Caenorhabditis elegans: one gene and its partner. The protein of the gene in region 1 interacts with the protein of each later gene in a pairwise test. Each region holds a gene or a part of one and is shown on either strand. Other genes may lie near its edges. The genes, in order: npp-26 and hlh-30.

The links.
Region 2: the proteins of npp-26 (region 1) and hlh-30 interact in a two-hybrid assay, tested with the Caenorhabditis elegans proteins (one large-scale study listed by BioGRID).

The regions. Positions count from the first base shown.
Region 1 is NC_003282.8:4,763,000-4,768,714, forward strand, and holds npp-26 (Nucleoporin GLE1), read left to right. Parts: upstream 1-1,722; 5' UTR 1,723-1,748; coding exon 1,749-1,981; intron 1,982-2,186; coding exon 2,187-2,667; intron 2,668-3,287; coding exon 3,288-3,467; intron 3,468-3,572; coding exon 3,573-3,828; intron 3,829-4,462; coding exon 4,463-4,593; intron 4,594-4,644; coding exon 4,645-4,806; 3' UTR 4,807-4,957; downstream 4,958-5,715. Other genes in the region: Y17G9B.2 (uncharacterized protein), read left to right, coding at 1,202-1,293, 1,467-1,488.
Region 2 is NC_003282.8:4,024,890-4,030,170, reverse strand, and holds the start of hlh-30 (Helix-loop-helix protein 30), read left to right. Parts: upstream 1-2,043; 5' UTR 2,044-2,084; coding exon 2,085-2,264; intron 2,265-2,359; exon of another isoform or gene 2,360-2,443; intron 2,444-3,107; coding exon 3,108-3,293; intron 3,294-5,281.

The DNA of each region.
Region 1 (5,715 bases):
TTCTCATTGCAAAAAGTCTGAATTTATTGATTTTTGAATGAAGTTATAGCTAGTAATATTGATTCTCATGGAACAGCTCATATTGACAAATGTGACAAATTTTGATACGGTATTTTTAAAGGCGCAGCAAAAAATTTTCTCTATGGTCCCGCAACGTACACAGTTTCACTAGATTTTGACATGCCGCTTTAAAGGCACGTGGATTTATTTAAATGGGTAACACGGCCCGGCAAGTGGTACATCCATGCAAATGCGCTCTACTGATAATTTGAGTGTAGACCAGGTTTGGGCGCGTGATAACGAAAAAAGCTTTGGTCCAAAAAATTTAGAATTTAGTTTCGGACATTTTTTATATGCATCACAAAAAAACTGGACCAACCGTTTTTGAGATACACGCGCCCAAACGTCCAGGTATACGGTAGACAAATTGCGTACAGGTACCACTTCTCGGGCCGTGGGTAATATGGGAACAAACAATTCTAAGAATGCGTACTGGGCGACATATTTGGCGCGCAAAATATCTTGTAGCGAAAACTACAGTAATTCTTTTAATGACCACTGTAGCTCTTGTGTCGATTTACGGGCCCACTTTCGAAATGAGTTTCTTTTTGAATAGTGATAACAAATTTCTCATTTTCCTTCGTTATTTTGTATTATTTTCTCACGTTTTGCTTAATTTTAATATTCCATAAATGGTTTTAATTCATTCAGAAATTCAGGCCCGTAAATCGACAAAAGAGCTACAGTAGTCATCTATAGAATTACTGTATTTTTCGCTCCGAGATATTTTGCGCGTCAAATATATTGCGTAGTACGCATTCTCAGAAATTAATGTTCCCGTAATACCAAAGTCATACAGGAAAAGTGAATTTTTCGAAATTCAAAATTTGAACCGTTGATATTTTCTTGTTGATGTTTTGCAAACAACACTCCAGCGCTTGAGCATATTGCCATCAAACACCAATGAGAACGAAAAAGGTTGAATCGAACAATTCGAAGAATTTTCTATTTTAAGAGAAAAGATCTCTAACCAGTGCCTTCTCGCTCCATTATCCTTTGGAACATGTGCGTGTCTCTGCACGCTTTAGACAAAGAAAAATATGTATAATATCTCTAAGATGAGAATTAGAGAATTGGGGAAGGGGGGTCAATTGGATCGGACCACCCAATCTTCCCATCTGCTCATTCTCCATTTGTGACCATGGACAACGGTGTGTCTATTCCATTCCAACTGCTCAAATCACCTCAAAAATCGATTAGTTATGTTCTTCAAAGAATGACTATCGGAGATCTGTAAGTAAAATGTGACCAAATATAATTATTTACAGACCTGCAAGTGGAACTATTCGCTAGACATTCACTAGATGACTCATTTGTTGAGAAATTTCAGTGTAAAAGATGTTGAGTTGGTGCATGAAATGATATTTGAAAGTTTATAAATTAAATTCTTAATAAAACTTGTTCAGGTTCGTCCAAAAATGGAAATAATCGTTTGCCCGGTCTCTCCAATCCACATGAAGCTCACCAGACGCCGTCCAATCATATCTCCATGATTTGAAATTAATTTGAAATTTCGAACGATTTTATATTTTTATTGCTTGATAAATTTGAGTTTTCTGTAAAAAGTTTGAAACTTCAACCTTGAAATTCCCGTTACTGGTCGAGTCCAAATCTACTTTCCTAGAATCCACGTTTTAATTTTGAAATTGGCATAATAATTACAGATGAAATATAGTACCCAAAAGGATATGGATCTAGTGAAAGTTGACGATGATGTCGTTCGAGAAATGGAAATTCGGAGGCAACAGCACAGTAAAAAATACGATCGGAAGTTTGAGGAATTGGTGAAATCGATGAGTGAAGCTCATGTGGAACCAGAGAAAATGAAAATTCCATTTTCGAGAAAACCGACTGAGCAGGAGACCAATAATTTGCGAGAAGAATGGGAAAAAGAGTACGCTGCTCTTTGTACATCTGGAAGGTGAATTTTATTATGAAAACGCATAAAAGTGCAATTTTTGAAATCAAGGTGTTCGGTGGCTTTAGTCAAAAAAAATCCATTTTTTCCGGTTTCATTTCTGGTTTTGCAGCCAATACCTAACGAGACCCAACTTTTGGCATTGGAGCGCGCTTTCACCTCGATTTCAAAAATACGTGTAAAATGAATTTTGAACTATAAATTTCAGAACTCTCGCGCGCCCGAATCCGAATTCCTCAATATTCTCGAAAATCCTTGCTCAAGGATCTCCATCATCTGCAAAAGCTGGCACGACTCGATCAACGCCTCGTACTTCTAAACCTCCTTCCGCTGATGAAAATATAATTTTTGGCCAAAAATTACCTGAAACGCCTGCACCAAAGCTGTTGTGTCCTCCGCGTGCATCTCCTGGAAGTTCACGAAGATTATCGATTTTCGTGGAAAATTTGCCTGAAAATCATGCTGAAATTGTGCGAGGAACTATTTTTGCTGGAAGAGAAGCCAAAATTATGCAAAACGATCCGGAAAATGTACCGAGTACTTCAACCTACGGAGAACCAATTCGCCCATATCTTCTCTTTGCACGATATATTAGTCTTGAGAAAGGGCTTTTGGACGATAAAAATCGCTATAAATCTGCGACAGATCCACGGTTTCGAGAATTTTTGAAGGAAAATATAAAATACAAGGTTATTAAACTAGTTTTCACATTTTTTCTGCGATTCCCCAGCAATTGAGTTGCTGTAACCAAATTTGACAATAGTTGGCGGATGGGTCTCGTCGCGAAAAATTTTGATTTTACAAAACTACCAATTTTTGTGATTTTTTGACTTTTAAAATACTGTATCTGGTCTTGAAACGACAAAAAATGTTTCAGCTACCGTACCGACAAATTATTTTGGAATTTTCGCTCAACTTTTCAATATGTTAAGAAAAAACCATGATTTTGTTGGAAAACCATCAGAAAATACAATTTAAAACAAAAACTATATTTCAAAATTTTGCAACTGTGTAATAACAATATCTAGTTTTTGCTCCAAAAATTATTTCGAGCCAAAAAACGAAAATTTGAAATTTGCAAACAACCAAAAAAAAGTGATGCTTGAATTTATTTTTTAAAGTTTTTTTCTTAAAAAAAAAACAAAAAAAACCAAATTTTTCGTTAAAAAATATCTAAATAATAACAAAGAAGCCCCCAGGTCGTTACCATTAACTCGCGGTGAGACCCAAAATAAAAACTTTATTTTATTCATGCTTTTTCAAAACCATTTTTAGAAAATAACGAAAATAAAGTATGCACTCTTTTCAGGTAAAACAATCCATTAAACATCGAACATCATCGGAAGCTTGTGCTCAAATACTCAACTACTTCAAAACTTTATTACAAAAGCAAGAAGTTCAAGTACTCGGAGGATATGCCCCTGTACTTCAACTGAAAACTAATAAAGATATTGAATATGCCAGTTTATGCATTGTGCATAACTATGTCGTGAGTTTGACCGAAAATTCCTTGCAGATGTTGCCCAAATGTTGCGATGTTTGGGCCAAAATGCGGCAGCAGTTTTTTTCTAAGGAATTCAAAAAATTTTTACAGATACTGGCCGAACGCGACGAAAGCCTAATACCATTGATATCAAGTCATATTACACGATTATCAGTATTTTATGGATATATTGAACAAGTTTTCTGTATTATATTACTGAGCAGATCAGCCCTTTTACGGCAACATCCGGAGGAATGTATGGTCAAATTTCTGGCGACATCGATGAATCCGAGCTCTCCGGATGCTATTAAGAAGTGGAGTCGACAGAAAGCGCATATTATCTTGTTCTGCTCGGTTTTCACTAAAAGTATCGTAATTCTTCTATTATGTGATCGCAGAAAAATGCGTCACTTGAAATGGAGGACGTAAATGCGCTCCACGGAGAAATTAAAGCACTCCGCCTCTAAACGATGGGTCTCGTTAGGTATTTGACTGTATCATCGTAAATTTGAACGTTTCAAAGATTTTTTTCCTAAAAAACATTTTGCCGTTGTTTAGGTTGAAATCAAGGGTGTTCTTAATTTTTTTTTGATTATTTGGAAAGTCGGAAAATCGAAAACAAAAATTTCCAGAACTTTCGATTTTTTTGAGTTTCAAAAAAAAAATTGAAAATCAAAAAACTGTAAGGAAAAAGCTAAGGAAGTTTTATCAGAAATATGGTAAAAATATGTACCTTTTTTTAAAATTTTGGTCGTTTAATTAGATTATGAATTTTCCTCCATATCACTTTTGAATGATAAAAAATAATAATAAAAAATGAAATAAGCCTGAAAACGGTTGAATATACCATCTTGCCGCTAAATACCTAACGAGACCCAACGTTTAAGGGCGGAGCGGTTCACCGTGGAGCGCGTTTGCACCTGGATTTCAAAATACGCATTTTCTGCGTCCTATTAGTATCCAAGTTATTATGGTTTTGAAACAATGAAAGCACATTTCAGACGCCTACTGCTTCTCGAAAGGATTCAAATTGAAGCTAACCGACGAAATTCTATGGAAATACGTGGATGCTTCGACGGCTCATATTCTAGAAATTCCAAGGGGATCGTTCATTCTTTGGCAACTGATAACGGTATTAACTAAACATTAAAATATAAAAAATGTCTTAAAATTTAATTTCCAGACCTGCAAACCTCGTCTCCAAGTCGACAAGGAACGATGGATACAGCTGCTTTTGAATATTAAATTCAAAATAATCCCAGAACTGGATTTAGATTCATTTGATGGTGATGAAGCGATGCTGATGCAGTTAAAACAAACAATTGATGAGCTTCTCCATCCATAATGAGAAAATGTTAATATTTATCTAATTCCAATATTTTTCCTGTACATTTTGAGACTTTTTTCCAATTGTGGAATACGCGTGTACTATGATTTTCCATTCACTGATTTTTCATCCTTCTGCCATCAACATCGAAATATAGTACCCAAAAGGATATGGATGATTTTTCATCCTTCTGCCATCAACATCGACAGAAGACCAACTACCTCCAAACACAACCAACGACAATGGCCTCCAAGGCCCACTTTGTCAAGCAAAGCAGTTTTTTCTGCTAGGATAGAGTCAAGAGGGAATGCTCTATCCAAACCTAACTCCCTCAAACTTCAAACTTTTCTAACGACAATCAGGATTCTCACCTTCGGAGACGTCGAGACGAACCCTGGTCCGCCCAAAACGAGATGGCCCTGCCCAATATGCAAGAAAAGTGATCAATACAATAGTCTAAAATGCTCAAATTGCAAAAACTGGTCTCACAAGTCATGCCTCAAAATGACAGTAGCCCAATATCAACAGAGAGGTTACTCTTGTCTGGAATGTCAATCCAAAGTGGCATCAAACCCACCGTCAAAAAGACCATTTCAACAACAAGGCTTCACGATGATCTGCTGGAATGTGAATGGCTGGCAGGCGAGAACTGATGATATCAATCATATCATCAGAACTGAATCACCTGACGTCCTCCTTCTCCAAGAAACAAAGATCGCGAAAGAGTCACCAGGTTATACCCCTTTCGGGTACAAAGCGGCGCTGAATTCGAGAAACAAATCTGGCGGAGGACTAGCGACATTGGTGAAAGATGGCTTAGACTTCACAGTACTGGACACTTCCTCTACAGCTGGCTCCATGGAACACCTTCGGATAAAGCTAACGAACAAAATGGAGATCTCCAACGTGTACGTGCCTCCAAGATCC
Region 2 (5,281 bases), 740 kb from region 1:
ATAAACCTTACTATTAGGGCCACGGCCTAGGAAACGGGGCCCAGGGAGCTAGATTTTGGAACATGAATTTGTAAGCCTATGAGTCTAAGCTTAGGTGTCTAAACTTTCTGATCGGGACCTAAACATATGACCCTGGGGGCCTAAAATTTTAAAGCTAATAGTAAGCCTTTGAACCTAAGCATTGGGACTTTAACTTTTGGAGCTAATAAACCCCTTTACCGGGAACACCACTAGGGACGTTCTGGGAACACCACTAGGGAGGTACCTAAATGTTAAGAACTAAGCCTAGAGGCAAACTTCATGGCCTTAGCTTACAAGCCTTGGGACCAGGGAGCCAAGCCTATAGATCTAAGCCTAGGGTCTTAAGTTTCGGACTCTAAATCTGAAATTCAAACTTACGAGAAATTGAGCAAAAAGTGTTGTCAATTTAAACCCTTTTTCAATTTAATCATCAATATTTGCCCCGACCTCTGGAAATATCACAATACCACCAATCCGGCGCCCCAACTCCTCCTTTATTTCTCAGTTAGCCCCCCCCCCCCTACTGTTTGCCGAGTAACAATTCTCTGCGTCTTGCAAATTCCCAAAACTTCATTGTACATACACATATCACTATCATAATCATCACACACTAATTATGAAAGAGAATAGGCGCCGCGCTTATCAGTTGGCGGCGGGAGGCCGAATTCTCCTTCGTCGCCTAAAAAGAGAGGGTTTTGTCGAATAGTTTTGTTTTATTTTCGTATTTTCTTTGCGTTGGTTGGAATTTAAAACAAACTTTTGATGGCGTCATTGTTGCTTTGGATCATTTCTTTGTCATGTTTTTGTGATGATAACCTGTGTTTGGGTTGAAAAAAAATCGACTTTTCCAGGTTTTTGTTGACTTAGAGACTTTGTGAGGTCTCACTTTTTGAAATTGATAGAGTGCCACTTCCAGACCCCCTAAAACTTCCAGCAAAGCCGCTGGGTAAAAATTCTACTCGGATCATAGAACGATAACATTTTCTTCAAGTTGTCTTTTTTGATCCATCCGTTTTCGCCATTTTTTTGTTTCTGAACCTCGGAAGCTTAAAAAATTCTAATTTTCCTGAAAACCCTGTTTCGAACGACCTAAGTAAGCTTCAAATGTCAGAAGTCCCTAGGTGCAGCTCCAGAAGGCTTAGGTTCTTAGGCTTAGCTTCCTAATTGTTCGCCCTCAAGGTAGGAATTTTTGGAATATTTTGTTCAGGACATCTAATAACACTTTTTGATTTTATTTAGATCACCTTAGATTGCATACTGCTCCATTGCCCGAACCTAGAAAAAAATCCTTGTCCGAACAAAGGCCTTAAATTGTTAAGCTAGCTTTATCTTTTGAATTTCTCAGATTTTTCAAAACCGAATTTTGATCTCCCTCATCTTTTAATCTTCTTCTAATCAAATCAAGCCCATCAAACTGTTCAAAAAAAAAGATCTCTGGCCACCTCCTCCGAATACAGTTTGTTGTGTTCTTCTTATTTTTCTCGACCTAATCTCTGATGTCTTAACTATATGGACCGTTACTATCTTGTAATTAGGATGGGGCCAATGATTTTGTTTAGGAGTTTAGTATTCTAGGATTCCAGCTACGCAGACAGCTAGCCACCCCCAACTGCCCTTAAGTAGCCTAATCGCCATTGTCTCGACAAGAACTTGGCAGGAGGTGGGGGACACAGTAATAAACGAAATGATCGGTGGTGGAGGCTGTGAGAGAAAGAGATAGGGGCGGGCGCGTGTGCGCCCGTGTGCCCCATCTCTCGCGCCTCTCGCTCGATCCTTTGGGGAGGGGCTGCTGTTGCTGGCGACGACCTCTTGATATGTCACATTGTGTCTGCCGCTCTCTCGCCTCGTCCTCTCGTATCACCTCGGTCTCCCGCGACCCCTTTGGGCGCCTCTCTCCCGACCCTTCCACTCGGTTTCTTCTCTTGTCTTTCGCTCTTTTCCCTCTCCCCCTTTCGAATTTTTTTCCTTTTTTTCTACCAACCAATATACCTTTTTATCGATTGATTTTTTTTTAATTCTCAGATCCCGATACTGAAAAAAAAAATCAGCGAATAAGAGCATTCATGATCCGCCAACTAAATTCACCAGGCGGTGGCGGCGGCCTCGGATTGAACAATCCGAGAGCCCAGCAGCCACCGGGTGCTCAACAGCAGCAGCAACCACAACAAGCCCAGCAACAGTTCTACGATGACGAGCCATATCAGGCTAACGCGTCGCAGTTTCGATTTGGCGCCGGCAAAAGTGTAAGGGCTAATAATTTTCTAGGTTCAGGTTTAGGCCAACGACATTTGGTCTTTACACCCTTCAAATAGCCCCGTTTCTTATCAGCTCTCTTTCCCCCCGCTTTTAGTTTCCTGCTCCGGGCACCCAACTTCCTTCCGGGACACTTGAGTAGCCTAACTCACCAGAACTTTGTCTTGAAATTCGCTCAAGATAAGACCCCCATCTGACGATTGATTGACCGGTCATGTGTGGTGACAATACACAAAAAGAGAAAAGAAACAAGAGAGCGAATGAGACTTGATTGTTTTGTAGTTTGTGGTTTCGGCGGTCCGTTTGGGCTTGACACAGGCTTCTAGTTTCAGTCCTATCAACGTTCTTTGAGCTGATATCAGTTTTGACCTACTTTATCAATTTACCAATCGCATTACCATTTTCATTGCGAGCCAAAACTCGCATTAAAAATTTACAAACCTCGCTTAAAATTGTACTTTGCTCTCTTCGCCCATTTTCTAAGCTTGATCCGATTTCAATTTCAAATCACAAATCGAATTTCAAACTCAGTTTTCTCATCTCTCGACGCCAATTGTCATCACTTTGGGGCCGGCGAGGCGGTGGCGACAGGGGCAGCTAATTTATCAAGTAACAGGGCTGCTCAGTTTTCTGATCGGCTTTGATTTCCCTATCTCCCAAATTAGAGAGATATAGACACAATGTTTTTGGCACACTGCCAACTTCCCGCCCGCCGCCGCCGCCAATATAGTAGTAGTAAACAAAGCAGAGCGCTCATGGTGCATCAACGACCGAAATTTAGTAGTTATCTTTCCATAATGATTTCTATCTCTTTTCTTATTTTGTATTTTGAGATGGAACAACGTCGAGAGACGGGAAATCTGATTCCAATCGCACAACGATCGATGGGCTCGACGTCGACACCGTTCGGCTCAGCGCCTACACAGAGCTACTTTGGCGGAGGGAGCAGTGGAGCGGCATTAAGTAGTCCAAGGAAGATGCAGCAGACGCATCAGATGTTGTTCGGCAATATTCAACCGGTTAGTTTCAAATTTTATTAAAAGAAAATTTTTGTTTTCTTACATTGTTTGAGCTCAAAGTCTCTACAGAAATAAAACAAAAAACGAAACAAAATACTGCATTCTAACATAATTTTTAACGATTTTATGGAAAGTTTAAAGGTAGTTTACAAGTTTTTTTTACCCAGCTCAATTAATAGTAAGAAAAAAAGCAGAATTTTTGGAATTTTTTTCTTATGAAAAAAAGTGGGCCTGAAAGGGCTCCCCGGTAACTAAATTGTTTTGTGGTTCTTTTTTTTTAATCTGTGTAAAAGTACCTTTTTCAAGAGTTGGGGTTTCTTGGCTCAAAATAAGCTTAAACCCTGCTCTTCTTCGCTTAAAGGCGTAGGCACACAATTAAATTGCTCGACATTATAGATCTTCAAACTTTACGTAAAAATTTCTTCCAACTTGCTCCCCTGAAACTGATATCTTTTCATTTTTCTTGTAGATCTCCCTTTTTTGGCATCTGTTGTTAGCCTAACGTCGTAGGGTCAAATTATAGAAGTTTGAATTTTTACAAAAAAATTGTTCTTGATTGGCTTTAACAATATGACCCCCCCCCCTGAGCCATGTATTTGTTTTCAAGCACTTTTGCGCCACGGCGCCCATTCCATATTTTTCCTTCCACATTCTGCGGTCTCTCCCACTCCCAGATGACTCCACCCTAGACGGAACAGCTGAAAAACGAAAAACGGGCGCTGAAAAAATCTTGCGTTTGGCACGTAGCCCCCCCCCCCCCCGGGTCTCTGTCTGCCTCTTGGACAGTGTCACGTGGTGTTCGGCTAGCTTCTCTCGGCGTCCGGTTGTTTTTACACTCTCCGATGGTCTCTGACGTGTGGTAGTGGTGGTGGATAGGACTGAGAAGACAATGAGATGTTTGAGTTGAACTTTCAAGTTGATTGGTTGGGTAGGGAGGGGGCTGTATGTGGACTAAAAGGTCGAATAGGACCCTAGCTATCAACAGCGCATCAAATAAAATTTGACTTTATGATACGAGTCTGTACCATTTGACTAGCTCATTACAAAAACCCACGAAGCTAACTCCAAGTTCCCGGTATTTCGTTTGAAACTTTTTTGCCAAACTTCGATGCTCGTAGAATTTATCCAAAACCAAATTTTCTGAGATTATTAATTTTTCAATGTTTAGGCCAAGCTTTTTGAAACTTTTTCTGAAAAAAGCAGAGTTTTTTTTTCGATTATTTCGAAATCCGTCGAATTTTTCATAATCGGATTTTCCCAGATTTATAACGCATTCTCAAAGCTTTTTGGAAATTTTTAGGACTTTTTCTCCCCATTTTGTCAGTGCATTTTCGCTAGTTTCAAGTCCCGTAGAATTTCTCCAAAACCAAATTTTGAGAGATTTTCAATGTTTTAAAGCATGAGGAAAACTAGGCAAATATTCTGGAAGCTTTTTGGAAAAAAAAACATCTTACAAAAAAAAATTGAAATTTCTCGGAACCTGGGATCTTTTTTTTTTCACAATCAGTACATTTTCCCCCTAATTTTGAAACCTGTAGAATTCAGGGAAAATCTGATTTTCATAGAATTCTAATGTATTTAAGAACGTTGAGAACTTAACTTTTTTCTAGAAATTTTTTCGACCATTAGAGTTTGTTTCCCAGGAATTCGAAACTTGTACAAATTTCGTTATCACTCTTTATTTGAACTATTTTTCTAAAATTGTGAAGTCCTAATTATTAGTGTTGTACGTTTGAATCCGGATTCGTTTTCGCATTGAGACCCAATTTAGTTCAATTCAGAGCTTCATTACTTGCTGAGACTGATCCCTTGGTAAGCATAATGCTCATTAGCCAAAAGTTCAACTGTACTACTCCTGCTCACCTATCCCTTTCCTAAAAACTTCTATTGTTGTTGTTGTTGTTATCCTGGTTCAAAAACCTTTCTCCCTTTTTCTCCCGCGTCTCTTCTTCCTCCATAGCATTTTAGTCATTTTCCCGCCAAATTTT